Macaca mulatta: one gene and its partners. The protein of the gene in region 1 purifies or fractionates together with the protein of each later gene. This does not show direct contact. Links are inferred from orthologs where the notes say so. Each region holds a gene or a part of one and is shown on either strand. Other genes may lie near its edges. The genes, in order: GDI1, RAB14, RAB24, RAB7A, RAB31, RAB6B and RAB6A.

Evidence for each region.
Region 2: the proteins of GDI1 (region 1) and RAB14 purify together in Homo sapiens (affinity purification with mass spectrometry; 3 studies listed by BioGRID and IntAct, counting the BioPlex papers as one, with this or other methods). This does not show direct contact. The link is inferred for Macaca mulatta from reciprocal best matches to the Homo sapiens genes GDI1 and RAB14.
Region 3: the proteins of GDI1 (region 1) and RAB24 purify together in Homo sapiens (affinity purification with mass spectrometry; 3 studies listed by BioGRID and IntAct, counting the BioPlex papers as one, with this or other methods). This does not show direct contact. The link is inferred for Macaca mulatta from reciprocal best matches to the Homo sapiens genes GDI1 and RAB24.
Region 4: the proteins of GDI1 (region 1) and RAB7A purify together in Homo sapiens (affinity purification with mass spectrometry; 4 studies listed by BioGRID and IntAct, counting the BioPlex papers as one, with this or other methods). This does not show direct contact. The link is inferred for Macaca mulatta from reciprocal best matches to the Homo sapiens genes GDI1 and RAB7A.
Region 5: the proteins of GDI1 (region 1) and RAB31 purify together in Homo sapiens (co-immunoprecipitation; 3 studies listed by BioGRID and IntAct, counting the BioPlex papers as one, with this or other methods). This does not show direct contact. The link is inferred for Macaca mulatta from reciprocal best matches to the Homo sapiens genes GDI1 and RAB31.
Region 6: the proteins of GDI1 (region 1) and RAB6B purify together in Homo sapiens (co-immunoprecipitation; 3 studies listed by BioGRID and IntAct, counting the BioPlex papers as one, with this or other methods). This does not show direct contact. The link is inferred for Macaca mulatta from reciprocal best matches to the Homo sapiens genes GDI1 and RAB6B.
Region 7: the proteins of GDI1 (region 1) and RAB6A purify together in Homo sapiens (affinity purification with mass spectrometry; 3 studies listed by BioGRID and IntAct, counting the BioPlex papers as one, with this or other methods). This does not show direct contact. The link is inferred for Macaca mulatta from reciprocal best matches to the Homo sapiens genes GDI1 and RAB6A.

The regions. Positions count from the first base shown.
Region 1 is NC_133426.1:160,625,371-160,628,174, forward strand, and holds the end of GDI1 (rab GDP dissociation inhibitor alpha), read left to right. Parts: intron 1-72; coding exon 73-244; intron 245-560; coding exon 561-705; intron 706-823; coding exon 824-878; intron 879-968; coding exon 969-1,121; 3' UTR 1,122-1,918; downstream 1,919-2,804. Other genes in the region: protein FAM50A, read left to right, coding at 2,699-2,804. UniProt on the Homo sapiens protein: Regulates the GDP/GTP exchange reaction of most Rab proteins by inhibiting the dissociation of GDP from them, and the subsequent binding of GTP to them. Promotes the dissociation of GDP-bound Rab proteins from the membrane and inhibits their activation.
Region 2 is NC_133420.1:36,999,271-37,004,072, forward strand, and holds the start of RAB14 (ras-related protein Rab-14), read left to right. Parts: upstream 1-1,870; 5' UTR 1,871-2,056; intron 2,057-4,802.
Region 3 is NC_133411.1:186,278,164-186,282,943, forward strand, and holds RAB24 (ras-related protein Rab-24), read right to left. Parts: upstream 2,946-4,780; 5' UTR 2,637-2,945; exon of another isoform or gene 2,633-2,636; intron 2,547-2,632; 5' UTR 2,515-2,546; coding exon 2,398-2,514; intron 2,303-2,397; coding exon 2,234-2,302; intron 2,073-2,233; coding exon 1,994-2,072; intron 1,885-1,993; coding exon 1,817-1,884; intron 1,737-1,816; coding exon 1,637-1,736; intron 1,417-1,636; coding exon 1,366-1,416; intron 1,226-1,365; coding exon 1,163-1,225; intron 1,046-1,162; coding exon 981-1,045; 3' UTR 687-980; downstream 1-686. Other genes in the region: PRELID1 (PRELI domain-containing protein 1, mitochondrial), read left to right, coding at 3,206-3,297, 3,845-4,070.
Region 4 is NC_133407.1:155,150,496-155,154,614, reverse strand, and holds part of RAB7A (ras-related protein Rab-7a), read left to right. Parts: intron 1-3,265; coding exon 3,266-3,484; intron 3,485-4,119.
Region 5 is NC_133423.1:80,777,103-80,781,221, forward strand, and holds part of RAB31 (ras-related protein Rab-31), read left to right. Parts: intron 1-919; coding exon 920-991; intron 992-2,017; coding exon 2,018-2,124; intron 2,125-4,119. UniProt on the Homo sapiens protein: The small GTPases Rab are key regulators of intracellular membrane trafficking, from the formation of transport vesicles to their fusion with membranes.
Region 6 is NC_133407.1:36,936,309-36,941,131, forward strand, and holds the start of RAB6B (ras-related protein Rab-6B), read right to left. Parts: upstream 3,240-4,823; 5' UTR 3,058-3,239; coding exon 2,988-3,057; intron 1-2,987. UniProt on the Homo sapiens protein: The small GTPases Rab are key regulators of intracellular membrane trafficking, from the formation of transport vesicles to their fusion with membranes. Rabs cycle between active GTP-bound and inactive GDP-bound states.
Region 7 is NC_133419.1:74,102,164-74,106,282, reverse strand, and holds part of RAB6A (ras-related protein Rab-6A), read left to right. Parts: intron 1-55; coding exon 56-109; intron 110-2,442; coding exon 2,443-2,548; intron 2,549-2,614; coding exon of another isoform or gene 2,615-2,720; intron 2,721-4,119. UniProt on the Homo sapiens protein: The small GTPases Rab are key regulators of intracellular membrane trafficking, from the formation of transport vesicles to their fusion with membranes.

The DNA of each region.
Region 1 (2,804 bases):
TTGCTGTGAACACAGCCCCAAGACTACCTAAGGGAGTGATCTGACGGGCGAGGATTTCTGGTGCCTTCTCAGGTGGCCCGCTGCAAGCAGCTGATCTGTGACCCCAGCTACATCCCGGACCGTGTGCGGAAGGCTGGCCAGGTTATCCGCATTATCTGTATCCTTAGCCACCCCATCAAGAACACCAACGATGCCAACTCCTGCCAAATAATCATCCCCCAGAACCAGGTCAACAGGAAGTCAGGTAGGCCGGGTGCTGGTACAACTTCCTCTAGGGTGTTCTCTTTGGGGTTACCCTTTCTCTCCCCATCAGTGTCGGAGCTCCCTGCCTTACCTCTCTGGAAAAAATTTGACCCACGTTGTAGTCACCACAACTTGGACCCCTAGGGTTTGGGTGGCCTGGACTCTTCCCCTCTGGGAGGGTGGCGGCTTGGATGCTACCTGCTTTGCGGGGCTGGGGAGGGGGCAGGTGGGCCAGACTTGTGTCCAGCCACTGGAACCCATCTCTGCGTATGGCCAGCGCCTCTGGCCCGAGTTGACGGAGCTCTTCCTGTGGCCAGACATCTACGTGTGCATGATCTCCTATGCACACAACGTGGCGGCCCAGGGCAAATACATCGCCATCGCCAGCACTACTGTGGAGACCACGGACCCTGAAAAGGAGGTGGAGCCGGCTCTGGAGCTGTTGGAGCCCATTGACCAGAAGTGAGGGGCTGGGCCGAGCCCGAGAGGGAGAGGGAGGGAGCCCAGGAGCTGGGCTTAGGGACCAGGAAGGGCATGGCCCGTTGTGAGGCCTGTCCCCTCCCCTCTGTCTGCCCCTCAGGTTTGTGGCTATCAGTGACTTGTATGAGCCCATTGATGATGGTTGTGAGAGCCAGGTAAGCAGTTTGTCCCAGCCCTGGCTCCTGGCCGCCCCCCCAGGGCACCTGCCTGACTCACCCTGGGCGCTGGGCTTTGGCTGTTTCCAGGTATTCTGTTCCTGCTCCTATGATGCCACCACACACTTTGAGACAACCTGCAACGACATCAAAGACATCTACAAACGCATGGCTGGCATGGCCTTTGACTTTGAGAACATGAAGCGTAAACAGAACGACGTCTTTGGAGAAGCTGAGCAGTGATTGTGGCCGCCCCCAGCCCCTGCTGCCCCAGCCTGTGTCTGTTCTCCTAGAGGGCTCCAGCATCCTCTGCTTCCCCCACCACGTTCCCATCACCCACCTCATTGATCCACTGACCAAATCCTTAACCCTAGCGATGGTTTGGGAGATGGGGGGTTGGATAGCATCCTCTTTCTTGGCCCTTCCTTATCCTAGGAAAAGAGGGTTCCTCTCCTTGTGTGTGTCTCTTCCCCCCACCCCTAATTCTTCTGCTCTGTTCGGGAAGACGGGGAGGAAAAGGTGACTTCTGCCCCCACCGCTCTTACCCCCACTGTAGTGGCCTTTGGAGATGCCCCCACCTCCCCCCACCAACTCTTGGCGTGTTGGAGAGAAGGGGCCCTCCCAGCACAAAGTTGCATTCCTCCCCCCTAATTTATTCTAATTTATTAACTTCGACCCACCCTTTCTGAGCCTGCAGCCTTCCCGTGTGGCCTGGGGGCTGTAGAGTGAGCTGCCCCAGCCCCTCCCAGCCCTTGCCCAGCCTGGGGCAGTGGGGAAGGCTTGGGCGTGGCCCCGTTGGAGGTTGATTTGCTGTTTTGTTTCTTGTCTTTGTGTTTGTGTTCTGTGGTACTTGCTGAGAGAAAAATGTGAGCAAAGCAGAAGGAGGTGGGAAAATGGACCCAAACCCCAGTGTGCCCTGCCCGTACCTTTCCTTTAGTGGTGGGAAACCCTTATCTTGCAAAGTGAATGTGTCCCCTTCCCCACCCTCTAGTGTATTTCACAGAAAACAAAACCTCCCAATAAAACGGTTGAAACCTGAACCTCTGGATCTTTACGGTTATCTCCCAAAAGCTGGGTACCTGGCAGGGCTTTGGCTGCCTGGGTTGGGGCTCTGGCTTAGCTTCACTCTGGACTGTAAAAGGTGGCAGTCGTCAGGGAATTCCTCACCCAGAGCACGCTGGGGCCAAACTGACTTAAAGCTTAAGGCTACCAGTGAGTTAATGCTGGCACCAGGACTGCAGCCCTCAGTGCTCAATGCAGGGGGAGTGCGGTGGGGGGCGGGTGTCAACGTGGAGAAAGCAGAGGGAGCGGGGGTCTTGGCCTCTGGCTTGAGAGGGCAGAGGGGACCCGGGGCCAGCCTTGGATGGGGTGAAGCAGGGGGACAGGGGTGCCAGTTTTCGGCTTAATGCGGGGGACCAGGGCCTGGCCTCAGGCAGGGAGGCAGCACGGGGACCAGCCTTGGGGTCAACAGGAGGAATTAGAGGGACCAGGGGCCCAGCCTTGGCTCGGGTTAACGTCGAGGCAGCGCGAGGGGCTGGGGGATTCAGCCTCCGGGGTCCACAGGAGCCGGCGGTGGGGGCTGGGATGGGAGTCCATGCAGGGTAAGGGGCGGTCTCCGGCGGGGTGGGGCGGGGTGGGGCGGGGCGGGCGGCGGTTCCGCTCCGGGCCAGCTGGCGCGCGGAGGGGCGGGGTATCCGTGCGTCTCCTGGTGGCTGACGTCACGGCGCGGGCGTCAGCTGACTGTTCTGCTGCCGCCGCCGCTGCTGCTGCAGCTGAGACCCGGCTGGGCTGCTGTCGCTGTCGCCGCCGCCGCCGCTACCATGGCTCAATACAAGGGCGCCGCGAGCGAGGCCGGCCGCGCCATGCACCTGATGAAGAAGCGGGAGAAGCAGCGCGAGCAGATGGAGCAGATGAAGCAGCGCATCG
Region 2 (4,802 bases), on another chromosome or scaffold:
GATACAATGGGGATGCCTGCTTCCGAGGTTTGTTTGACAGGGACCTAGCCTGGCTTGTTCACCGCTATATACCTTGCATATAGCAGTGTATATATAGTAAACGCCCCCATAAATACACGTTGAATGAATACAGTAAATGCATGCTTAGCACGGTGGCCAGTATACGGTAAGCGTCCAATAAGTGGTAAATGTTGGTTTTAAAAATAGTTTAAAAGTCTCCAAGAGCGACAACCCTAGTTCGCCAAGACGCAGGGGCGCCCCACCAGATTCCACGCAGACCTGCGCAGTAGCTCCCCCGAGAGACGAGGACACGCGACTGCGCTTGCGCATACGCGCTTTCCACCTTCCCTCCGGGCGTGAGCGCCCGCGGGGCGGGCCTCAGCGGCGGCGCGACGAGTCCAGAGGTGAGGGCTGAGGAAGGGGCGTGGCTAACGGGTTGGCCTCGGCCACCCTCTTCCGGGCTCCGCCAGCTGCGCGCGCATCTTCTCCCCCTTCTTTTGTGGTCCGGCCCATTGCGAGGGTGACAGGAAACCCTGTGCAGGGAGCGCCGCCATCTTGGACCAGCCCGAGGAAGATCCTGAGGGAGCCGCAGGAGCAGTCACCGCTGCCACCGGTACTGCCGCTACTGCCGCCGGCGCGTCTGCACCTCTCGGCCTGCCCGCGTACTTGCCGGGGCCTCGGCCGACCGCCCCCGCCCCCTCTCCCGCTGCGTTCGCACTCCTGTTCCTCGTCCTGACGCCCCCCTCCCGCCCGGAAAGCTGCCCAGCCACCAGCAACCCCCCAGGTAACCCGGGCCTTCCGCAGTGTCCGGCCGGCTGATGCCTCCTCGCGCCGGGCTCTTCAGAGGGGCGGGTGTGGCGACGGCGGAGACAGGGCTGCAGGCGGGCGGCGCCCCAGGGGCCAGGCCCCGTCAGGCCGCGGCGATCCCGGGGGTCGGCGGTGAGCGCCGCGGCGCCGGCCTGACAGGACTCCCGGGCGGGGGCGGAGGTGTCCCCTGCGTGGCTCCTGCCTGAGCCTCCTGCCCACCCCGCCCCGCGGGGCGCTCCGAGGCGTGCAGGGAAGGGTGTGTTCCGGCCTCGCCTTCCGCGCGTTCTCGGCTCGGCTGGGCAGGACCGCATCTCTCGCAGGCCCCCCTCTCGCCGCTGTTCTCCGCGGCCGCAGCCCGCCCCCGCAGGGTGTACCCACGCGTGCCGCGCCGCCCTGCAGCCCTCGAGCCCCAGACGTGGCGGTCCCGTCCCGTAGGCCGCGTCTGGCTCTGAGTACAAAGGCAGCTCTTCGCAGCCTCCTCGGCATCTCGGGGCAACTCCGGTGCCCTTGTCGATGTGGGGAGTCTGGCCCTGCAGCCGGGCCAGGGACGGGGTCTGTGCGCCTGTGCTTGCGATGTCCTGGTTTTGGTGCGTTCCTATGAGACGCGTGGACAGCCTCTATGGCCCTGAAGCTACAGAGCATCTAGAAACAATGAAGAGAAAGTTGTGGCATTTCTAGAATCTAAGAGAAGACGACAGAACTGGAGTGTTTTAAGCGTTTTAACTGTGGGCCAGGTACATACTTAGGTGTCTTTGTACGTGTTTATCTTGTCCCGTGTAGCCCTCGGAGGTAAGTTGTCTCCACTTTATAAGTGAGGAAACTGAGGCCTACAGTTGTGATGTGTGTCTGGCTGATGATGGTATATTACAAACTGGCTTCGGCTCACACTGTGGCTGGTGGTTTTTGTACTACACTCAAAAATTAGGCTACGGTTACAGGCATGACCATTTATAATGTAGTTATAATTCCTTTTTCACTGTGTTCGCATTGGATGACAGCTGATTACCCCTTTATGACCTAAAGTCCATAAAGTCAGCCACTACACTGGCAAATCCTCATGCTCGCAAACCCCAAAGGAGAGATGCCAGGATTTCAATTTCGTGTATGAAGAAACGGGTTCCGAGAGGACAGGTGCCTTCCTGGTGACCCCACAGCAAGTGTCAGAGCCCAGATTTGAACTCTTGCAAAGTTTACTGCTCATTTCGTTACTATCCCAACTGCCTTTAAAAAATTCGTATATTTTTCTAAGGTAAATATTGTAGAGGAACCAGCTGTCTTTTATTTAGATTTGATTGTTGAGGATAAATTTGACCTTGCAGTAATCCAGCTCCCACCCCTTTATTCCCCACAAGCCTTTCCAAATTTTTTCTTCCAAGTTCTGTTTAGGCAGTTTTACTTGATCATGCCTAGAGGTATGTCGTGGTTAAGAGTTTTGGAGTCATACTGTCAAGGGTTCCCCCTCCATTACTGCCACTTCCTAGTTAAGTGATCTTAAGCAAGTTACTTAACCTTTCGGACTCAGTGTCCTTATCTATAAAGGGGATAATTGAACCTGCATCTTAGAGTTGTTGCTAGGATTAAATGGGGTTTAAAGAAAGCCCTTAGCACGTTGCTTGGCATATAGTAAATCAGTGCCTGTAACAGTGCTAGGCACATAGTGGGTGTTTAATATCTTTTGAATGAATGAGAGAGGAGCATAACTTTGGAGAGCTACATGTAGAGTTAAACCTGGACCTTAATTCTAGCTCTCCATTTAGTAGTACTATGACCACGGGTAGATCACTTTGGTTTCCTTATTTGTAAAATGAGTTTTTAGGATTAGAGTTTGTTTATAAAGTAGCTGGCATGTGTTAGGCCCTCGATAAATGGCAGTTATTGTAAAGACGTAAAACCTTAGATTATAATAGCTATTTAAAAATTCCTTGAAATTAAAGCTACATTTTAAAAAGTTGTTGCTTTTTTGTATTACAGTTAAACTTTATCATTGTTGCATACTTCAACTTTGCAACAGAATTTGGAGTGTTCATTTTTATCAATGTCAAATATCTTTGCATAGTCACAGTAAGATACTGTGCTAGTGGAGGAAACTTGATTAAGGTAAATAAAATGTTAAAACTCGGGCTATTGAGAGATGTTTCATGTTTTTTTAAAAAAGGCTTGAAACATTTTTATGTGGTTAAAAATGCTAGGCATGGCTAAAGACAGCAGTTTACAAATAGAAGCATTAGAGGTACTGTACTTTTAAGAAGCTTCATCTAGACAATTTTAAATATATACAAAATAAAGTAGCATACTGAGCATTCATATACCTATCAGCCAGTGTCAACAGTGATCAGTCTTGCTTCATCTATATACACTTGCCTCCTCCCTGCCAAATTATTTTGAAGCAAATCTCAGACACAGTATCATTAGTAAAATTTTCACTATTAATCCTTTTAACTTTAGCAATAAGTGCAGGGTTTTTTTTTTTTTTGCTTTTTGGGTGTTAAGTGCTTTCTTTCTGTGAACAGAGGTCCAGTATTAGAATACTTTATTTTCTGTATATAGAAGATCATCAAAGTTACTTCTCTTGCCACATTAAGCAATCCAGCTTTTTAAAATCATTATTTATATAAAAGTGACATTAAGTATATTGTCAAAAGTTAGATTTATTTTTTTTAAGTGGGTGGGCTGTTTGTACTATTGTTGAGGAAATTGACCACTCGTTTTTATTAGGTTAGATTATTAGATTAACTACAGAAGTTTTATCCACGTGACTGACAAATCAGGTAGTAGTAGTCCATTTTAGTGGGCCTTTAGAGCAAGTCAGAATGCTTCTGTTCTTGAGTTCCACGAAGGCAGAGACAGTGTTGTCTTTTTTGATCATTGCTATCTTGCCAAAGCCTGGCACAGTGCTTTGTGCTTAGTAGATACTTAACAGATACGTTCATGTTGGAATCACAGAAGCAGTCCATCTCAGCTCTGGTATTTTTAACAAAACATCATGCATGTTAAACAAACAAATAAACAAAACTTATCAATGGAAATAAGGATAAGAATTAAATCACCTGGAATATTTAGTGGGTTGCTTTTCCCTTGTTATGTCTTGGATCAACTATGTAAAAGTTATACAGTAACATCGTTGGTTCTAAGGAGTAGAATAGCTATATAACAGGTTTTAAAATCAGAGCAAACAATAAGTAGTTCAGCTATTTAAAAAAAAAAACCAAAAATATGCCCTCTACTATTGAGTGTTGGTTTTTTTTGTTTTGAGGCCAATCGTATTATTGGCTTCATAAGTTCCCCTTATTATCAGTAAATGTGGAAATAATGTTGGGAATGTTATGAGTGGGAGTTTTGTTTGTTTTTGTTTGGGTATTCTTTAACCTGTATTAAAATTACATAGAAAGTGCTTTTCACGTATTTATTGGTAGAGAAAATTTTATTTTTAATTCATTGTAATAAGTCAGTGCAGGGATCTATAAAGAAAAGTTAATACTTTCTCTCTTCCCTTTTTCTCCTGTCCGTGTATTTTTCACAATTTGATTTGTATTTCATCGTATATGAATATAGGGTTGAGTGTGTGTGTGTGTTTGAAAGTGGGGTATGCTATCGCATAAAACTCTGCAACGTGTTTTTTCACTTAGCAAAATCATGGAGGTATTTCCAGGTTAATGCATATCGATCAAAATGGTTTCTAAACTAGATGGATATTATTTTGTAGTACAGATGTACTTTATTCAGTCATTTCCTTGCTGATAGATTATTTCCAGTTTTTTGCTGTAAAAATGGTACATTAAATGCGCTAATACCTGTAGCCTTATGGACTGAAGCTTTTGTATATGTAGGATACTTCTAAGTGGATATCTGAGCCAAAGGATGATTTGGATTATTGTTAAGATTTTTAAATATACTGATTACTTTCCAAAATGTTGGCACATTTCCACAAGCAGTATGTTTGGTAGTGTATACCTTCACATCTGTACCTACATGTTTCAAAACTAGTCGTTTATATG
Region 3 (4,780 bases), on another chromosome or scaffold:
GTGTCAGCCCTGTTTACAATAACACCTGATTCCTCAGAAATATCTGGATCTTCAAGGCTTAAGACTGGGGAAAACTTGGAGCTTGCTTCCCTTTGTGACCTAGTCCTGAACTTCCTGCCCTTTCAGCAAAAAGTGCTTGGGAAGATTGGGAAAAACATTTAGTACTAGAATTACTCTTCACTTCACAATGCTTGGGCTGCACAGGAGTCACCTTATTTTACAGATGAGAAACTCAAGGTGAGAGTTTAAGTCTAAATTAGCAGCTGAATTGGAACCAAATCTGGATCCATTAGACCTTTCTGGCTTACAGAACTTAGAACTTTCCTACATTAAACCACACTGTAGGACGTCACTGGGAAGTTCAGAACCTGAGTCACAGGTCTGACATAGGGTCCCAAACATGACAGATGCAGTAGAGCCAGTCAGACCAACCTGTCTGAAGTAGGAATGCTTGACCCTTTTATTTTGAAGCAGCTCATGCACTCTTTTCAGCACTCAGAAGGAATTGTGAGCTTTGTACTACCCCAGCCCCAGTATCTCAGTAACCCTGGGGAGAAAAGTCTTGTTTTCCAAAGGAAAATGAGAGTTGGGAGGAGCCTTAACATAAGCAGTGAGGCCAGCCAGGTGGCCCCAGAAAGAACTAGGTGTCTTGACACCCAATCCACACAGCAGGGAAAGGGGCTGGGTGTGATTCACAGTGCATTCATTTTATTTACAGATCAGAAGCCACTTAAATAATCTGCAGACACAAGTGCTGTCCAGGGCAGAAGCCTGGGGTCCAAATCAGCCCTTATCCCTCCTCATGCCCACAGTCAGCCCAATGCTGTCTCCGTTCCATGGGCCAGCACAGGCAGGCGCCACCTCTGCTGACATGAGGACCTGGGGTAGCTCAGACATTTGACTACCCAAGCCCAGAAAGGAGCTGGGTCCAGCCCTTCTGGGGAATTCCTTTAATTCCCCCAGGCCAGGTGAGTGCTGACTCAGTGATGACAACAGCTGTAGAAGTAGGGGTTTGGCTTCTGGCCCAGATCCACGCCCTTGTCCTCTGTCAAAGAGAGAGGTGGCAGCTCAGCACCATTCTGTTGGGATCAGGTAACTCAGGAAAGGGGCAAGAGGCTGTGGGCCTAGAGTAAGTCTCCATAAAGGCTGGGGAAGCACACACCTGTCATCACCTGGAAGGCAGCCACACTGACGTAATCCTCTGCCACTTTCTGGAAGAGCTCGTCTGGCAGGAAAAATGATGATCAGTGAGGGCCCAATGCCAGTAGCCCTGGGATCTCCCAGTGACCCAGCCCTCTGTGCCCTATTCAGCTTCCTCTGGTGCTCCTGTGTGTTCCTGCTGTGAGGCCCCAGCACAGCACTCACCCACACTCTGGCCTGTCTTGCTGGATGTTTCAAAGAGCTGAGCTTTGATATCTGTAAAGAGAAGTGACTAAAGCCTCATACCTGAGAATTAGATAAACAGACAAAAGGGAGGGCTAGCAGTTCAGGCAGTCTCCTGGACCCCACAGTTCAAGGAGGCCAGGAAGACCTCCTAGAGCACCTTGCCCTGGCAGCCAAGGCAGTCCCTATTTTCTGTGATCCACCCAGACAGCCAAACACTCCCACCCCCCCCAAAGGGCTGAGGAGCAGCTACTGTCTGCATAGTCCTGGACGTCATGGAAGTCCACACGTCGACGCCTCCGGTCTTCTTCCAGCAGGTCACTCTTGGTGCCACAAAGGTAGATTTGGCAGCCCTGAGACAGAAGACAAGGGTCACCCCCACAGACCAACAGAACCCCAGCCCCTAGTCTTCTAGTGAGGTCTGTTCACCTACCTCCTCTAGGCTGCGCAGTTCCTTCACCCAGAACTTTGCTCGCTCAAAGCTGCTGCTGTCTGTGAGGTCTTGGTGTGCGGCATGCAGGAGACACAACCAACTGGTCAAGGGCTGTTCTCTGGCTAGCCTGGCACCCATCTCTTCTTGTGGGACAGGCCAGAACCCCCCCGCCCTTACCATAGCAAACGATGGCAGCCTTGGCACCCCGATAGTAGATTCTACTCATGGCCTCATAGCGCTCAGAGCCTGCTGTGTCCTAAAGAGTAAGGCTTGAGTCAAACTTAAGGCCATGTTCTCCAGAACCCGCAATTTCAGATAAGGAAACTGGTCTATGAGGCCACAAATCAACCAGTAATAGGAAGGACCTACACCTCCTCAGGAATGAGTCTCCCAAGAATAGATGCCCAGGGGACTTACCCAAATACCTAATGTCACAGTCCGGTCTCCGACCGACATCACCTTGGCCACGAAGGCGGCCCCGATGGTCTGCAACGAGAGGGAAGAGATCCGAGCCATAGGTGCAGATTACCGCCCCCCCCACCCCTCCGCCCACCGTGCCTGGCCCCTCCGGATGCACTTACGTTCTGATAGGGCCCCACCAGAAAGCGGTCGTGCACGTAGCGCTCCACCAGGCTTGTCTTGCCCACGTACTCCTTGCCCAGCATCACCACCTTGACGTCCACGCGCTGCCCGCTCATGCTCCTGGGGCCGCTTCAGCCACGTCAGGGTCCTGAGCGGGGACGGGAGGCAAACCCCGATCTCCGCTCGGCCCAGGCAGCGCCCAAGCCTCCGACCCCGACCCCAAACGGCGCCAACCTACGACTCGAGACAGCGCGTCGAGCTCGAGCTCTGGCCGTGGCCTTGCACTTCGGCAGCGCCCCGTGTGCCCCCGCTGTTCGGCTCCGGGCGCCGATTATCTTTCGAAGACCCCAAACCCCGGGGCGGCCTGGAAGCGCGCGGGACAGCGTCCTCAACAGCGCAGCACGCCGCCGTGCAGCTCGCTACTCCGTCATTCGCTCGCCTGCCCGGCTTAAGCTCCGTTCTGGCTGGGAATCCCAACCGAACCCGGGGTCTCCTGCAACCCGGCTCCTATCCGCAGCGCCGCGACTCCCGCGGGAGGGGGCGAGAGGGCGAGGGGGCGGGGCCGCAAGGTCACGTGGCGCGGGCGCCGGAAGCGGTTGCTACAGTGTGACTGCGCCGGAAGTAGCGCGCGGCCGGACAACTTATGGCGGCGGCGGCAGCAGCTGCTTGGGCGCGGTGCGGTGGTGATTGAGCTACGAGCCTGGCGGCGGGTGTGCGCCGAGCCCCGGCCCGGCCCGGCCCCCGCGTGCCTCCCAGGCTCCGCACCCCTGATGCTGCGCGGGTGCTGAGCCCGCTCCGGCCGGGACGATGGTGAAGTATTTCCTGGGCCAGAGCGTGCTCCGGAGTTCCTGGGACCAAGTATTCGCCGCCTTCTGGCAGCGGTACCCGAATCCCTATAGGTACGTGGTATTTGGAAGAGCAAAACTTCGCCATCTCGCTATTTGGAGATCGAAGTATGGGTAATCCCCAAGTAATGGGACCAGGAAGGACTCGACATCGAATCCTACGTAGACCTTATTGGGGAAGCGGCCAGGCCAGGCCTGCAAGGTCCTGAAGGGAGGTTGGGCCTGGGCGGTGGTTTGCTTGAGACTTTAGTATAAGATTCTTTTCTCAGTGTGGTGAGACAAGAAGAGGCGGCAGTATGGGAGTTGGGAGGGATCTTGGGATTGGAAATCCTGTTCCTCTTCCCATGGCGCTTTCCTGGGGTGTAATAAATCATGAGGTCCATTGCTGCTAGAAGGCAGGAATCCAGGTCAGTCAGATGGCGGGAGTTGGAATTTGCCCTGGGATGGGCCCTTGACTCTGGTCTGAACCATAGCACTTACCACCCTGCAAGGTTACAGGAAGGCGTGGCCTCTCTAGGCCCGGAGACTCCAAATGGGAATCCCCTCGGGCAGTCTCTTAGGGGCAGGCTCCTGAGGGTCACCTTCACCCTGACACCTGCAGCAAACATGTCTTGACGGAAGACATAGTACACCGGGAGGTGACCCCTGACCAGAAATTGCTGTCCCGGCGACTCCTGACCAAGACCAACAGGATGCCCCGCTGGGCCGAGCGACTGTTTCCTGCCAATGTTGCTCACTCGGTGTACATCCTGGAGGACTCTATTGTGGACCCACAGAATCAGACCATGACCACCTTCACCTGGAACATCAACCACGCCCGGCTGATGGTGAGACGCCTCCTGCTGTGATTCTGCACCTCCCCTTCTCCCCTCCCAGCCAGATAGCTCCTCAGATACATGTGGCTAGAGAGCCATAAGGGAGCTTTTGTGGTCTGAGGCAGGTCTGGGTTACTGAGGGTTGACAGCTGTAGAGTATGACCTCAGATTTTCTTCTTTTCAGCTGGTCATCCTCTCTGGACCTGTCTTTTGACTCATTCATACAGTAGGGGAGGGTACCTATCTTATTTCGTTGTCGCTCCCATCGGGTACAGGGCACAGATATGTGTTGGACTCACGGGAGTGATGCTGAGTGGGGGAGGGAGTGCTTTTCTTTGTTTCTTTTTTTTTTTCTGTTTTTTGTTTTTTTTTCTGGTGACAGAGTCTCACTCTGTCGCCCAGGTTGGAGTGCAGTGGCGTCATCTCACCTCAGTGCCACCGCCACCTCCCAGGCTCAAGCAATTCTCGTGCCTTAGCCTCTTGAGGAGCTGGGTTTACAGGCGCACACCACCACACCTGGCTAATTTTTGTATTTTTAGTACAGACGAGGTTTCACCATGTTGGCCAGGCTGGTCTGGAACTCCTGACCTCAAGTGATCCGCCCGCTGCAGCCTCCCAGGGTGCTAAGATTACGGGCGGGAGCCACGGTGCCGGGCCAGTGTTTTTATTTGGACTGTCAGGAAGCTCCAGAGCTGCAGTCGGTGGAAGGCGACTAAAACACT
Region 4 (4,119 bases), on another chromosome or scaffold:
AGACCATCCTGGCTAACACGGTGAAACCCCGTCTCTACTAAAAAATACAAAAAACTAGCCGGGCGAGGTAGCGGGCGCCTGTAGTCCCAGCTACTCGGGAGGCTGAGGCAGGAGAATGGCGTAAACCCGGGAGGCGGAGCTTGCAGTGAGCCGAGACCGCGCCACTGCACTCCAGCCTGGGCGACAGAGTAAGACTCCGTCTCAAAAAAAAAAAAAGAAAAGAAAAAAAGTACAAATCATAAAATGTTGAAGATTGATAATAGATTACATTAAACATCTGTATAACAAGATTCCCAGACTAACAAAAACAAACCATACAAGCAGGTGAAAAAGATGTTAATGCCTAATAATATCCAAGCAGTAGGCAACCTGGTGGATGCTAGAATATAGGGAGTTGAACAGCCTCAGGTTGATGGTAGGAGTGTAGTAATGAGTACAGCCTTTTCAGTAGAAACTGCCACTCTGTTCCCCAGTGTTGAACATACACTTATGCAGCAACAGTCTGAGTGTATGGCCTAGAGAAACTTACGTCTGGGCATGACGTCTGAGGTGTAACGAGAGTTACCATTGCAGCATTGCATGGATAGTAGTGAAAAACTGCAAGTAACTCAAATGATCTAGGAAACTAAGTGTAGTCCGTTAAGGCAATGAAATATTATATAACTGTTAACTTTTGGGAGTGAAAAAAGACAAGTTGCAAAAAGCTGTACAGAATGATACTATTTATGTAAGGTATCTCTTCAGGAGCATTTGCTTGTGGTAAAGTAGGAAGAAAATGCAATGGGGGAAGGGTTAATTCTTGGAAAAAATGGATTAAAATAACAGTGTTAATTTTGGTAACATCAGAGTATTGGGTAGATAGTTATAAGGGTATAATTTTAAATGGAGAAAACAAACCATTTTGAGACAAGCAGGTTGGCTGGTTTCCTGTTTTGATGTAGTCTAGAGAAAAAGAACAAAAGCCCCTTACTCAAGCTGTAGCTTACCTAACTTCCAGACAATCAGCAGCAAAAAAATCCCAAGAAACTGTTATCATAAGTTCCTGCTTCATGGGGCTAGGGACCTCCCTGGGGCCCCCAGCATGTGCAGTTAGACTTCAACTTATAGTTACCTTTTCCTCATTTTAATGCTAAAAATCACACCCAGGGTGGAGATTTAACCTGCTAGTGCTACACGCAATTTCTGAAGAAGCATGTTTAGCCACTGTGCATGCGGTAGAGAAACCCCTCCTATATACATACCCTGACATCACCCCTCCCCATAGGAAGGCCCTTTAAAGTTAACTCCCACACTGCTTTCAGAGAACAGCTGCCCCTTTCCTTTTGCAGTGCTAGCTCACTATGCACAAGCTAAATAAACTTTCACTTTCTCTTTGCTATTGTGTCTGATGATCTCTCTTGATTTCTGTCATGGAAGATTCCAAGAACCTAGGTCACTGTTAACAATTTCAATTAAAATATTAAAAAATTTAAAGATCACAGCCAGCCATAGGACTGTACTTGTTGATGTTTTGATAAATATGGCCTTTACTTTTGTAAATTCAAAATTAAATTAATTTTGGTAACTTTCTAGGAACCCATCAACTTGTTGACTTTTCTTTTTGAAAGTATTACTTTGCCTTCTCTGTGTATATGAGTTCCAGATGATGAATTGGTTCCACCTAACAATAACAGAGTTCTTATGTAATTCTGCTTGTAGGAGTCTTCCTGAAAAAAAGCCGTTTGAAATACAGAAAAAGCTCTCTATGCTAATGTTCATTGCTGAGTTGTTTATAATTACAGGAGATTGGCAACAATATTTTCTTAAAAACAGGAATGGATGGTTCACTAAATCTGTTGGGCAGCTGTAAAGTCCAGTGAACCTGCTCTCCCACGTCACCCCATCTGCTGTTGCCAGAGTGCCCTAGTGCGTGACGGGGTAAAGGGGAGGAACGTGGGAGAATGTGGAGAGTGTCACATGTGCAGTCTCCAGTCAGTTATTTGTGTGGAGAAAACCTCTCCACACAAATAACTAGAACAAGACATGAACTCCTTCCTGTGTGGGAGGATGCCAAGTGTTCGTATATTTGTTTGTTTGTTTGTTTGTTTGAGAATGGGGTCATTTCTCCACTGACAGAGATGCATACATATTCAGTGTAGAACATTGGAGAACCAGGAGAGCACATAAATGAGTACCACCAGCAGCCCTGATCCTGTTTAGTCTACATGTGTGGACTTCGTTTATTGTATCTGGGGAAGGGAACATTTAGTGCCCTAACCTGCTGAGAGGCAGTGGAATCATGAGAGATAAATTTGTCTTTTTTGCCCTTCATTCTTATATCTGAGTTATCATGTTTGTCTGGCTCTGTTTGAGTGCCTGTTACGGATCTAGGGCAGTAAATATACCCAGCCTTGCTCTTAAACCTAGCATGGCAGTGAATGATGTGACCAGCTTAGAGCTGGTCAGTAGTACCTGGGAGTTAATCTGGTGTGTGTTCTCATTGTCTTTCTCTTGATCTCTTTCTGTCAAGAGTTTTTCATTTGTTTTTTAATTGAGGTATAATACAAATGAAATATAACATGCTAATCTTTTTTGTTGTTTAGGCTAACTTTTCTCTCTTTTTTTGAGACAGAGTTTCGCTCTTGTCCCTCAGGCTAGAGGGTAGTGGCACGATCTCGGCTCACCACAACCTTCGCCTCCTGGGTTCGAGAGATTCTCCTGCCTCAGCCTCCCAAGTAGCTGGGATTACAGGCATGCACCACCACGCCTGACTAATTTTGTATTTTTAGTTGAGACAGGGTTTCTCCATGTTGGTCAGGCTGGTCTCAAACTCCTGACCTCAGGTTAGCCACTGTGCCTGGCTAGGCAAACTTTTCATACAGTAAAATGCATAAATGGAACTGTATCATTTGTGAGTCATCACCTCACTTCCCTGTATTTCCATTGCTCTCAGAAAGTTCCCAGAGTACCTAAGTTTTATTTACAGTTCAAATTTTACACACTTACCTAAATGTGACCACTACTTGGATCAAGATATAAGAAATTTCTAGCGCCCTGGAGATTGGACTCGTGTCACCTGCTTATAGACAGACACATACTTACATACAATATTTGTGAGGATTGTTTCGGATACTCTGGTGCTGAAATTTGCTTCCTGAAGTCTGGTGTCATTTGTCTTTGTGGGTGACCTCACAATCTAGCCCATTTCTTCTGGCATCCCCTGCATACATGCTCCTTGTGCTCTGCCTAGCACTCTCCCGAGGAATAAATGTTTTGTCTCTCACAGATATGGGACACAGCAGGACAGGAACGGTTCCAGTCTCTTGGTGTGGCCTTCTACAGAGGTGCAGACTGCTGTGTTCTGGTATTTGATGTGACTGCCCCCAACACATTCAAAACCCTAGATAGCTGGAGAGATGAGTTTCTCATCCAGGCCAGTCCCCGAGATCCTGAAAACTTCCCCTTTGTTGTGTTGGGAAACAAGATTGACCTCGAAAACAGACAAGTAAGTACCAACGATGATAGATATTGTCACAGACACTTGCTCCCAAGGGGCCTTGTGAATTTGGAGGGTTCTCTGCTAAGCTCACATGGCTCTAGGAGGTGCTGGTGGGAGTCTTCATCACCCTATGCCAGCCCTTCAGGCCAACTGCCTTTAAGGACTGGGACCCAGGTGACCTGGGTTAAGTCCCCATCCTGCTCCCAGCTGGCTGTGACTTTACGCCATTGTCTTGGCTATCTCAACTTCAGTTCCCTTTCTGCACTTTGAAGGAGGGAATTCAGTTTTGTCATTCTCAGTAGTGCCCTCCCAGTACCTCCAGGCCGTGCTTGGATCTCCATGTGTGCAGAATATTGCTTTGGGCTTTGAGTGAAATTGCTGTACTATAGTTATAGTTTCAAATATCATTTCTGTTGGAAACATAGACTCTTTGATTAATTACGACTACGTTTATTTCTGACCATGGATCTTTTTTCCTCCCCTTCCTAAGTGACTTAGTCCTTATCTCTTGGCTGAAAATGGGCTAGGGGTTGGGGAAGGAATGAGAATGTGAGAGTGGCATGGGTGACATCACACTAGCAGTAATGGTAAAGGGACTCTAAACCTTAAGACCAAGCTGCTGGGCATTTCCTGTCCTGGGA
Region 5 (4,119 bases), on another chromosome or scaffold:
GTCTGGGGATGAACGATGCTAGTGACCAGCGGCACTTGCTTTGTTAACATTTTGGAATGGAGCTCCTCTGCTGTCTTGTCATTTGTGGACCTTAGGTAGGTGAGGAAGCCCCACGTTGGAGAGGTGGCAGCCCTCCAGACCCGAGGCAGCTGCTGCCAAAGCTGCCCTTGCTGATTGGTCTTCATTAACGGCTCAGCAAGGGTCCTGTGATCTTTGCCAGTGTTCCCTTTCCCTCTCCTTGCCATACTTCTTTCCTTTACTGCTGCATAATTCTAATGAGATTGCCCTGGGTCGGTCAGTCATATTGGAGAAATGATGAGCAGCAGAGAAAAGAACATTCACAAGATGGTAACATTTAAAATAAAATTTGTTTTTGGCTTTTACCCAAGAGTAGATTTCATGGTCAGTAAGCCACAAGTATATATATGTGTTGATGAGGAGGAAAATGTCTTATTTAATATGAACCCTGGGGCTAGGCATAGTGGCTTAAACCTGTAATACCAGCACTTTGGGAGGCCGAGGCAGGTGGATCACCTGAGGTCAGGAGTTTGAGACCAGCCTGGCCAGCATGGTGAAACTCTGTCTCTAATAAAAATAGAAAAATGATCCAGATGTGGTGGCGCATGCCTGTAATCCTGGCTACTCCGGAGGTCAAGGCACAAGAATCGCTTGAACCCAGGAGGTGGAGGTTGCAGTGAGCCAAGATTATGCCATTGCACTCTAGTCTGAGTGACAAGAGTGAAACTCCATCTCAAAAAAATAAAATAAAATAAAGAATAACATGAACCCTGGAAAAATTAGATGGGGGAGGAATTTAGGGATCCTATAGGGATGATGTAGGATAAAACTTTTATGTTTAATTTGGGATTGAATAAAGTCTGTTCACTTTGGCCTAAAACTGTTCATTGTTCTTAAACAGTTTCATTCATTGGCTCCCATGTACTATCGAGGCTCAGCTGCAGCTGTTATCGTGTATGATATTACCAAGCAGGTAAGACTGTCTCCTTCAGAATTTAGATGTCATTTATGGTGGTTCTCTCTCTTAGAGAGACTGAAGCAAAGACGTCACTGCTTGCGTCTTCCCAGTAGCGTGCCACTATATATTGAGTTTATTTCGTGTATATGTAACAAAGCATCCCATATTTATCTGCTAAATTAAACAACAATGACCATTCATTCTTAAAATTGACTGTAGAGGCAAAGTCATGCCTGCTAGTACTATTCTGCAGAATGTCAGCTTTTAAAGAAAAGGAAAATCGTTTTTAATTTCTGCATGCTTTATAATTACAGAATACTTATTTTTGTTAGTGTTTCAATCATACCACTTACTTAAAATGCCAAGCATAACATTTGTGTGCGTGTAAGTAAATCTTTGTGTGTTTGTGTACATATAATATATTTTTAGTTATAATGTTGAAGGTTTTAGACTTCCATCAACAAATAACTGCAGTAGTTTGATGACATTTTTTCCCACTCCTGCAAATTGAATTATTTGCTTTTTTTCTCTGGAGTGTTGACTCAGCACATAAGACCATCAGTTTAATGACCCATCACTGTTACCTTCCACGAGTTCCTGACCACTTCTACCTAAATGTGGTGTGTTGCCTTTGACCTGTTTTCTAGAGGACAATTGTGAGTGAAGGGCCAACAGGAAGACAGGACTCTAGAGATATATGATTCTTTCTTGGTGTAAGCATGAGCATTTACTTAGTCCTGTTATTCTTATTCATGCGGAGTCCAGGCAATCATTTTAAATTAACATTATTTATAGGAGAAGAATCACTGATACGATTTTCTTAACTAGATCAAGTTTTAATTTTAGAAAACTTTACATGGTCTATTAAAGTGTATTTCAGCTAACATTAACTTTTGTGCCTAGACAGAGGTAGTATGTTAATCTGCATGAGTCTCCTAAAAATATTTTTCTCCATTAAATTGTACTGGGCTTGTATTTCTGCTTGGTTGAAATATTATATTGAGGGGTTTTTCTAATGATTTGTGTATACTGTTGGTTTAGGATTCATTTTATACCTTGAAGAAATGGGTCAAGGAGCTGAAAGAACATGGTCCGGAAAACATTGTAATGGCCATCGCTGGAAACAAGTGCGACCTCTCAGATATTAGGTAAGACGCATTTTAATATCTTTTGTGTAGATATTATCCTCCATCCCTGAATGTCATCCCTGAGTGTACAAAGGTATCATGCCTTTGTTATGTCTGCCCTCAGTGTAATAGTTAATGGCCTTTCACTTGTGGTAGTCAATGTGTCATTGATTCAACCAGAGAAGAAATAAGGGAAAATGATAGGGAAATGCAATTCTGGTGTACCATACAATGATAAATGTTAAAATTATAATTCCTGTACATAACACAGTTACATCCCTGACTCTACATATCTCTGGGCTAAACGGTTTTATTATTTCTGTTGTTACTTTTTCCATTTTTATTATCATTATGACTACTAGCACAATTTTAGTAACACTATGGTAATGGTCATCCCTATCGTAATGACCATTAGAATTCTTAAAATTTTTCATGGCATACCTGTTTGTTTTAGTTCTAGATTTTACCTTAAGAATATAGTCAAGTACGTAATCTCACTATTTTGTTCTTAAATCAGAATATGACACATTGTATGTGAGTACCTTGACTTCCCCCAGTGGTACTGGGTTATTGAACTTCCCGTATCTGAAAGGAGGTTGTGGGGATCCAGTACACATGAATTAGAGATTTGATGATAGCTTTGCCTAGCCTGGTAAGCTAGCTATTTTACTAAATAAATACATTGTTTAAAAAAGGAAATAGTGAATTTGTGGTATCTCCATTCTCTCGGTTAATTTAATTCTCAGGAATTCTAGTAGCTGATTTTTATAAAGACAACTACATCATGCTTCTGGTTTTGCTGATCAAAATGTGATTAAACCAAAGCGAAATAAATAGTCGATGGAAATGGATCTTGCAAAAGCTCTTAACATAGCATTTAACAAATTGTTCTGTTTCTTTGGGATTTCAAAAGTTTGTATCACCTTGCATCTGGTTGGTTTATAATAACAGCCATAAACACCACTTAATCGTTTATTTTTCTGGGATTTGGACAGATCTTCAGACTTCCCAGACTTAGTTCAGATATCCACCTCCTTTACTGTAAACCTCAAACAGCTTGCTTGTCTAGTGTTCCCAGCAGAATCACCTTAACCTTGGTCATGGGAAGGATGAGGTGGGTGTGTAGAGACAACCTTTGCTGAGAGAAGGTGCTATCTCTAAAACCCCCTAATTATGGGACTAATGTGCACCTTTGAGTGGAACCAAGTTTTGTGTATCGTGGGAATGCTGATGGACTAGAATTTAAGCAGAGAACGATTTAAACTTGCATAGTATCAGTTAGGATTCTTGGTTACGTGGATCCAAAACACAATTGAAATTCAGGAGAAAGGGGAATTATTGGAAGGTACTGTTATCCACATGGTAAAAACAGAACTGCCCTCAGCTCTGGCATTTGACATGTTCCAGAGTTAGTCTCTGGAGAGATGCTGGCCTGGCATTGTCTTCATTTCCAGTCTAAAATGCCAGGGAGGAACTCCCCACGTTAAGAACAGGCGTGTGTGGCCAGGAGGGGATTGGTAGTACGAGATGGTATTTCCCAACATTACTATGAGAATGGGAAGGCAGGTGGTCTTGAAGAGGGATAGCTCCTAGAAAAGTGTAGCCTGGCCAGACAAAACTTATCTGTGACATATAGATGTGGCTACCAGCACTCAAGGATACGCTGTGTTTCGGGGTGGAATTCACCTTTTATGCACAGGTACAGCATTCTTCTTGATGAGCGTTCTGATTTGTGCTCAGCTGATTCTTATATGTGCAATTTTCAATGTGCCCCAGCTAACATAATCTATTCATCTCACTTCCAACTGTGAATTAACTTACAGCCTCTCTATCCCAGTGGGAGAAAATGCAGGGCCATCCAGCTGCTACCTGTAGTGGTAGTGTCATGGGGCCACTGTCCCATGCATCCAGCCTCCTTGGTAATATCTTTTCTCCTCTTGTTTGGCCTCAGTGAGGTCTGAATGTGGCTCCTTGAGATCCTGTAGTTGTGTTTTAAAGTGTGGCATGTATATCTTT
Region 6 (4,823 bases), on another chromosome or scaffold:
CTTCTCAAGGGCCTCCCATTTAAACCAGTTCCCTGATATCTTTAAAGACCTGATGTCCACCCGGGATTATCTGGCCCAGGGTGTGCTCCACCCCCTGGTCCATGCACGCCGCTCTTCTTGGAAATCCACTGCCGTTGCCCACCAGCCTAGAGAAAAGTCACCATTATGCTAGGCACAGGAAATAAGATAAAGCCACATCCCTCTAGCTCCTTCCCCTGGCCCATCTCCAGGGGACTCGGCTCATATCGGCAAGCCCATGTTGCTCTGAAAGATTCTGCTGAGCTCAGCGGGCCCAAGTCCCCCATGTACAGAAGGTAAAGGAACTCTGAGGTCATATAAAAAGAGCCAGGGCCAGCATGAGGGCCAGCCCTCAGGAGGCTCTCTCCACTGCACAGGCTGCAGAGAATGCTGGCACAAATGACCAACAGATGCAAAACTGTGCAGGCAAGGTAGAAGAAGCGGCTGGGGAGGTGACTCCCCATCCCATAAGGCTTAGAGACGCACATGTCCCCTACCTAACTCAAAAGCTCTGTAAAACCTAAAACAACCCACTAACGATGCAACAAAGTGGAAACAGGAAACAGGCTATTCGGGGCCTTGGAACTCCCTGACAGAAGGCACCAGGTGAGATGCCAGTAGCCATCTCACTGACAGCAGTGATTCTCTAATGACCATGTTCCAAGGGCCCACAACCCTGCTCCTGACCAACTACTCAGCATTCCTATCAGTCACAGGCCCCAGCTATAAGCCTGGCCGTACAGAAGCAACCCAACTCCCTCTTGGGGAGGCTCCCCAGTTGTTGGCTTCCCCAATTCAAGGTCATCTTACTTCACAATGACACGCTAGTGAAAAATATTGGACTGGAAACGAGAGGTGAGGCTCCAGCCCAGAAGTATTAGCAACTCACAATGGGACTCTGGGACTCTGGGCAAGGCCTCCCTGTTCCCTGGGGCTCAGACTTCCCATTTGAACATGTGGGAGAGGTGGTGGGTTCATTTCTTAGACTTCAGCTATCATTTCTGTGCTTCTGGGAGCAAAGGGGGTCTGTGGAGCCCAGCAGGGGTCTCTGTTCATCAGGAATTCTGAGGGAGCCTAGAATGTTCCCTCAAATTCACCAGAGACACTTTATTCACCAAACTCCTAGTCCTTTCTAAAGCTTTTGCAGACTTAGAATAATCAAATGTTTGTTGAGAACCTACCAGGGTCCAGGCACTTTGAGAGGCACTAAGGAAACATGAAGAAGTAAAAGAATTGTCTTCAAGCAACCATTTTTCAGAGACAGAAAGTGAGTCACAGAGAGGCCTCAAATTTTACTAAAGGCAACACAGCTAAGAATTCAACTCCCAGGCTGCCTGATCCCCACAGGTTATCTCCCAGGGCTCCAGGCCCGGTGAGACTAGCACTGGGATGTGAATACCACCAAAATCCCTTCCAGACACAGGGAATGGTCAGCTCCATGAAACTGGGATCTACTAAAACAGGCAATCAGAATCCAAGGCAAATGCTGGCTGGCTGAGAGGATCTTCTGAAACACCCAACCTGGCCCCCAAACCCATCTCCATATTGGGCCTGGACACTACCTTCTAACGTCCTTCTCTGAATCATCCATCTCAGGCAATGAGCATCAGCAGACAGGGGCCAGTCACATGACCTCCATAACCCTCATGTACACACAGCACAGCAGCACTGTTCATGGCCCACCCAATCCTCCCACAGTTGCCTTTCTTTTGGACCCCCTTGTCAGAGAGGGTCTGCAGAGCCAGAGCTGGGGTCCTGCCCGACAAGGACAGCCTTCTGGGGTCCTGCTCGGCAAGGACAGCCTTCTCCCAGAGCAGAGCTGACCAGAGCTCAGTTTGTCTCCCTGCAGCCCCATTCGAGAGGCCTCTGGAAGGATGCTCCGAAAGCCACTCCTTCCTACAGGTGGCAGAGGGGTCCCTGCTCTTCAATCTGGGCTTCCCGCCTCGGGACCAAGCTGGTTTTCAGAGATGTTTTCCTGGGGAGGGAGCCAGGCAGCAGAGAAGCAGTCTCCCCCTCCCCCAGCTCTGGCCGGCTGCCACGGTGACCTCCCCTCCCCCAAGAAGGGCGGTGAGCTGGGAGGTGGGGGTGGGAAGAATCCACCGATGCTCTCAGGAGGAGTGCTGGGAAGCAAGGCAGGGCGTGTCGCCTGGGCCTTTCTCTGCCCAGAGCGAGACTTCACAGCCTCTCGGTGTGAGCTGCCCCTGTATCATTCCCCAAATCGCCTCGAGTTGGGGTAGCCTTCACTGTCATTGCCAAGACCCCTGAACAGCAAGGAGGCTACCGAGCGCTGGCGAAGGGCACCGGGTCTAGAACCTTCTGTGCCCAGTCGGACGTGAGATAGGGGAGGTAGGCGCCCCGTTCCCTCATGGCCTGCACTCGCTCTTTGGAACAGAGACAGGTGCCGGTCTTTTCTCCCCGGTGGCTATTTGTCCCAGCGCCTGGACGTGCCCTTTCGCATGGTTACCGGCAGAGTCCGCAGGGAACCCCCCTCCAGTGCAGCGGAGTGGGGGTCGGCCAGACCCCAGTTTCGCTTCGTTCTCCAAGGGGGGCGCCCGTCGCTCTCCCCACCCCCGGCAGCACCCAGCCACCTGCGCGGTCGCCCGCAGCCGGTGCCGCAGTGTGAGCTAGCCAGCGAGCCCGGGTCCTTCACGCCCTGGTCCGCGCGGCGGAGCCAGCCGCCGCCCTCCGAGCTCCCTGCGGCGCCGCACCTGCACCCGCACCCCGGGCCCCCCACCCAGAGCCCACCCTCACCTCCACCCCGGGCGCCAGCACCTCCTCCGTCCTCACCCTTGACCCCTCCCCAGTCCGACCCCGCCCGAGCCGGCCCCGACCTCCCCATCCCTGTCCCTCTCCTCTATCCTGACACGGAGAGGCCTTTCCGAGCCGCGGCCGGTGGTCCCAATGGGGTGGGCGCTTGGGCGACGGGGGTCGACTCGGCGACAAGCCAAGAGATTAAGCCGGGTACTTACCGCTCTGCTCCCCTAGGAACACCAACTTGAATTTTCTCAGTGGATTCCCAAAATCTCCCCCTGCGGACATGGTGGTGGCAGCCGGGGCCGGGAGAGGAGGAGGAAAAAGCGAAGGAGCAGGGAGGGGAGAGGAGGAGGGCGAGGGGAGGCGGCCGGCGGTGCGGGAGCCGGAGGGGGAAGGGCTGGCTGTGCGCGTCCCTGACTCCCCAGCTGCGTCCCGGCCCCGGCCTGCGGCTGCGTGTCCGGCGGCGGCGGAGGAGGAGGAGAGGGAGGAGTAGGCGGAGGAAGGCTGGGGCTGGGCTGCTGCGGGCGGCACTGGCTGCGGTGCGAGGGGCGCGCTCTTTACGCCCGAGGCGCGGCGTTGGGAGAGAGGCGCGGGCGGAGCGGGGCGCAGGGACGGCGCGCAGGGACGGCGCGCGGGGCGGAGGAGCGCTCTCTAGAGCCGCGCCAGTCGGCCCCCTCCCGCCTCCCTCCTCTGCCGGCGCCTGCGCTCTGCGCTCTCCCCAGCCTCTGATGTCATGCGGGGCCCGCGGCGCTGCGGGGCTGGGGGGCGTGCGCCCGCCCACCCGAGCCCGCACCCGGGCAGGAGAGAACCTCCTCGCTGTACCCCTGAGAGGCCCCCGGGTCGGACCGTCTCTCACTGCCCCGCTGCGTCTTTCTCACTCTACCCCTCTTTCGAATCCAGAAAATGACACGAAATTGTCAGGGGACTTTTGTTTCTGGTCTTTTAAACCTAGATGCCAGTCCCTTCCTCCACCTCGCGAGACACCGATGCACAGCGCAGTCGTCCGACAGGGCGGAAAGGAACGAAGGTGGGGGAGAGCCAGGGTGTGGCGAGGCGCTTCAGGGCGGGCAGACCTAGGGAAACCTGGCGTACTTGGCGCAGATGGAGCTCGACTCTTGCCCCGTGTGGCTTCTAGCCCGCCCTCCCCTCTTGAGGCCTAGACCGTTTATTTGGGCGGCCTCTTGTGGGGTCTGTGGGTGCCCCCGCAGACCTGGCCAGCGAGAGAAGAGCTGCCAATATAGGGCGCGCCTACCTCAAACCAGCTGTTCATTTGGATCATTTTATGCTAAATCATAACCTGCCCCATGGGAGAGAAGGAACGGTGACACTCTGAATGCCAGTGCCACTATCTCCAGGACAGTGCAGTGCCCTGCGTTTCTTGATCCTGGGGTCGCCAGGCTGACAACGCCACTCCCCACCCTGGCAATTACGTGTATCTGGACAATGAGCTCTCTGAGGACACGTGGGTGACCTCTCCTTGGCCTCTACTCGCCTGGTCCATCAAGGCACGCAGACCAAGCTGTGAGTGGGTAAGAGCAAAGAGCAGAAGCCAAGCGCTAGAAACACTCCCAGGACAGCCCGAGCCTAAGGCATGCTGGTTAATTGAGGTTTGACAAAGCTGCCCCTTACTCTTCTGCCACAGCGCGGTCTTGTTCGTTTATGGCTGTTCAGTGAGCATTTATTTGAGATAATAGTCTGCATGTTGGTGAACACGATGGTGTGTGCACGCATGTGTTATACAAAGAGAAAGAGGAGTGAGACACAACCTTCATCTCCAGATTTCTCGGACACTTGTTACCCACTTTTTGACTGATGGGGCTTGCTTGGGCAAGCCTGTCTGTCTCCCTGGTGTGCTCACCTCGAATCTCTCTTCTATTTCTTGTTAAAAACTTGCCCGCAAGTTCCATAAAAGCAGTCGTCCTGAGGACATAGCTCAGAGTTTAAGAAATAGTTGTTGAATGTTCCAATGAACATCTAGAACTCAAATCAAAATAACTCCTATTCTCATAATCACCTTTAGTTTGGAACGTCAAGGGTTGTAAGTCATCACC
Region 7 (4,119 bases), on another chromosome or scaffold:
TGCTGGCCACCATTAAACGGTTATTATTTGTTAACTTCTTTGTTTTGTTTTACAGGCAACAATTGGCATTGACTTTTTATCAAAAACTATGTACTTGGAGGATCGAACAGTGAGTAATATTTTCAGTGTGCAATTTTCTGCAACATTCCAGGTTAGAAAACTGCGATCAAAATAATCAATGATTGTCGCCATAAGAAGTACTTAGCAGAGTTACCAAAGAGAGTTTACAGTTGTTGAGAAAAACTCTTATTACTGAGTGAGTAGTACTTGGCAGTTATCTTGATTTGGAAAAATGAAAACAAAGAACTTTACAGAGAATTAAAGGAGAATTTTTATGAAGAAATTAAAGCTGCTAAAGACCTTCTAAATACCACTCTTGAGGCATTCAATAAGATTTCAATTTGTGAACTTCAGTATTTTTTTGTCAGGACAGGATGCATGTCAAAGTGACTGACTAAAAAGAAATAATGTGAGCTGGGTGCAGTGGCTCACACCTGTAATCCAAGCACTTTGGGAGGCTGGAGCAGGTGGATCACCTGAGGTCAGGAGTTTGAGACCAGCTTGGCCAACATGATGAAACCCCGTCTCGGTTAAAAATACAAAAAATTAGCCAGGCGTGGTGGCAGGCGCCTATAATCCCAGCTACTCGGGAGGCTGAGGCAGGAGAATCACTTGAACCCAGGAGGCGGAGGTTGCAGTGAGCCGAGATTGTGCTATTGCACTGTAGCCTGGGCAGCAAGAGTGAAACTCCGTTGCAAAAAAAAAAAAAAAAAAAGTAATGTGTATTTATTTGTTGGATTTCTTGTCTTTCGTCCTTTGGAATGTTTTCTTTAAATACAGTGTAAAATCTGTATTCTAGCCCACTACCCCTTGAAGAGATTCTTGTCACCTAAATAGTGAATATCTTACATGCAGTATTTTGAGACCTGCACCCAAAAACATTATTTTATTTCCAGTGTTATTTCTTATGTGTTTTTTTTTTTCCTGAATATTCTCTTTTATGGTTTAATATATAGCATGTCATTTCTTAAAATTTGTAAGCAGCCGGGTGCGGTGGCTCACGCCTGTAATCCCAGCACTTTGGGAGGCCGAGGTGGGCGAATCACCTGAGGTCAGGAGTTTAAGACTAGCCTGGCCAACGTGGTGAAACCCCATCTCTTCTAAAAGTACAAAAATTAGCCGGGCGTGGTGGTGGGTGTCTACAGTCCTAGCTACTCGGGAGGCTGAGGCAGGAGAATCATTTGAACCCGGGAGGCAGAGGTTGCAGTGAGCCGAGTTCACAGCACTGCACTCCGGCCTGAGCAACAAGAATGAGATTCTGTCTCAAAAAAAAAAAAAAAAATTGAAAGCTTGGAAACAACTTTCTGTCATGATGCAAGAACTTGATGCTTGTTTTCAGGCTTTTCTTCTTGTAATATAGATAGGAGATAGTACGTAAATAAATTTTTATGTAGGTCTGCAAAAAGGTATTCCTCCTTTTTTTTTGTTTTTCTGAGATGGCGTCTCGCTCTGTTGCCCAGGCTGGAGTGCAATGTTGTGATCTCGGCTCACTGCAAGCTCCGCCTCCCGGGTTCAAGCCATTCTCCTGCCTCAGCCTCCCAGGTAGCTGGGACTACAGGTGCCCGCCACCACGCCCAGCTCATTTTTATATTTTTAATAGAGACAGGGTTTCACCATGTTGGCCAGGATGGTCTCGATCTCTTGACCTTGTGATCCACCTGCCTCGGCCTCCCAAAGTGCTGGGATTACAGGCGTGAGCCACTGTGCCTGGCCCTCCTTTTTGTTACATTACACACACACACGCTCGCGCCTGTAATATAGATATGAGATAGTAGATAAATTTTTATGTAGGGCTGCAAAAAGGTCTTCCTCCTTTTTGTTACATTACACACACACACATGTGTTCTGGGGAGAAATGTATGGGACAAATACAAGCACAGTAGTTAAAGACCCAGTTTTAAAGTATTCTAGACCCAATAGGAAAGAGACACGTTTTAGCTTAAGAGAAGCTTTCAAAGAAGCATTAATTCCTTTACTCTGATAGCTTAGGCTGTTCCTTTCATTGACATTTACCTTAGTTTTTTTTTTTTTTTTTTTTTTTCTCTGTTTAACCATCAACAGTCTACTTTTTGACCCTGGAAGGCATAGGGATTAAAATAGGTTTTAGGTAGGGAAAAAGGGAAGCCATATTTCTGATTCTGTGAAACCTTTCCCAGTGGCATTTTCCAGTCATTTACCTTCGGAGTACGCAAAATTTTAATATTTCTCCCTTTTGAAAAAGGAGTTTTGTATTATTTTCATTCCTCACTCCCTGCAACCTCTTGCATGAGTCTTCTTTCTACTTCCTTCCCACCCTCTCCCTTTTAAAAAAACATTTTTTTTTCTTTTTAGTATTAGTTTCGTTTGTTTTTTTTTTTTTATTTATTTTTTCCCATCTCACAGATCAGGCTTCAGCTGTGGGATACTGCGGGTCAGGAACGTTTCCGTAGCCTCATTCCCAGTTACATCCGTGATTCTGCTGCAGCTGTAGTAGTTTACGATATCACAAGTAGGTATATTGCAACGGGTTGACCTTTCTTACTTTTCTTGCTTGTTTGACTGATTTTGTTGTTAGGTACGATTGCAGTTATGGGACACAGCAGGTCAAGAGCGGTTCAGGAGCTTGATTCCTAGCTACATTCGTGACTCCACTGTGGCAGTTGTTGTTTATGATATCACAAGTGAGTGGAGGGAATTATGCATTTCTAATCTTCTTTCAACCTTTAGCTTAGCTGCATGCATGTTCTTGTCTTGTGCTTGTTTTCCTTACTGGCATGTAAAAATAAGTTTTATCGTAGTAAATCACATATCAGCCAGGTCAGAAATATTTGCTTTGGTGTTTATACCAGTATGCTTTATATCTAACTGTGCCAGGTTTTTTGCCCCAGAAATTTTCTTTTGGGTCCAATTGTGAATCCTTTTCAAGGGTTTCTTAGTATCCTGTTATTCCTAAACCATACCATAATTATAGTTGGAGGAATGTCTCCTTTTAATTTAATTTGATCTCAGATTTCTCTAAAATAAAATAATCTGTGTTTAAGTCTCTTGCCAAGTTTTCCAAATTCTCCAAGCTTTCTATTGAGGCTATTACAAGCTTCTGCTAGCCAGCTTTTCTCTGCTTTCCCCTTCCAGCCATTCTGTCTCTGTAGAGGAAGACAGAGAAAACATAATGTATAGTTTTCTATTAATCTTTTTTATTTGAATCATATTTTGGTTCTGTGACTGATTTATTTACTTTGTTGCTAACAAATTACACTTTCATTTCTCTCCAAGAAAAAAATTTTAAATAGGAGGTGAAACAACCAGTAGTCTTTCTTTTTTCTAAAGATTGAATAATGCCTGTGGCCTTTTAAGTGACTGTAAATTTTCCATGAAGCATTGGTGACTGACAGTAAAATGCTTTCTGATTGAAATTGCCTTTGTAAATTGGTTTATGACATATATTAGGCAATATTAAACATTATTCCATATAGTGGTTCATAATTTATAGGAAAACCAGAGTCTTGAACTCCTGGGCTCAAGTGATCCTCCTGCCTCAGCCTTCCAAAGTGCTAGGATTAGGCCAGGCACAGTGGCTTACGCTGGAAATCCTCACATTTTGGGCGGCCAAGGCAGGTGGATCACCTGAGGTCAGGAGTTTGAGACCAGCCTGACCAACATGATGGAACTCCATCTCTACTGAAAATGCAAAAATAGCCAGATGTGGTGGCGCATGCCTGTAATCGCAGCAACTTGAGAGACGGGGGCAGGAAAATCTCTTGAACCTGGAAGTCAGAGGTTGCAGTGAGCTGAGATCGTGCCATTGCACTCCAGCCTGGGCAACAAGAGCAAAACTCCATCTCAGCAACAACAACAACAAAAACCAAAGTGCTAGGATTACAGGCATGAACCATTGTGCCCAGCCCAGTATCTGGGACTTTCTTTTTAGATTTTTAAAAAATGTGTACCACACTACACAGATGCAGTATCGTGGGCTAAAAAAAACTTACATAGACAAAGGAACTATTCATTTGGACTAATAAAACTGTTACTATACATTTTTGCATATCTCAATCAGGAATCATATCTAATAATGAATAA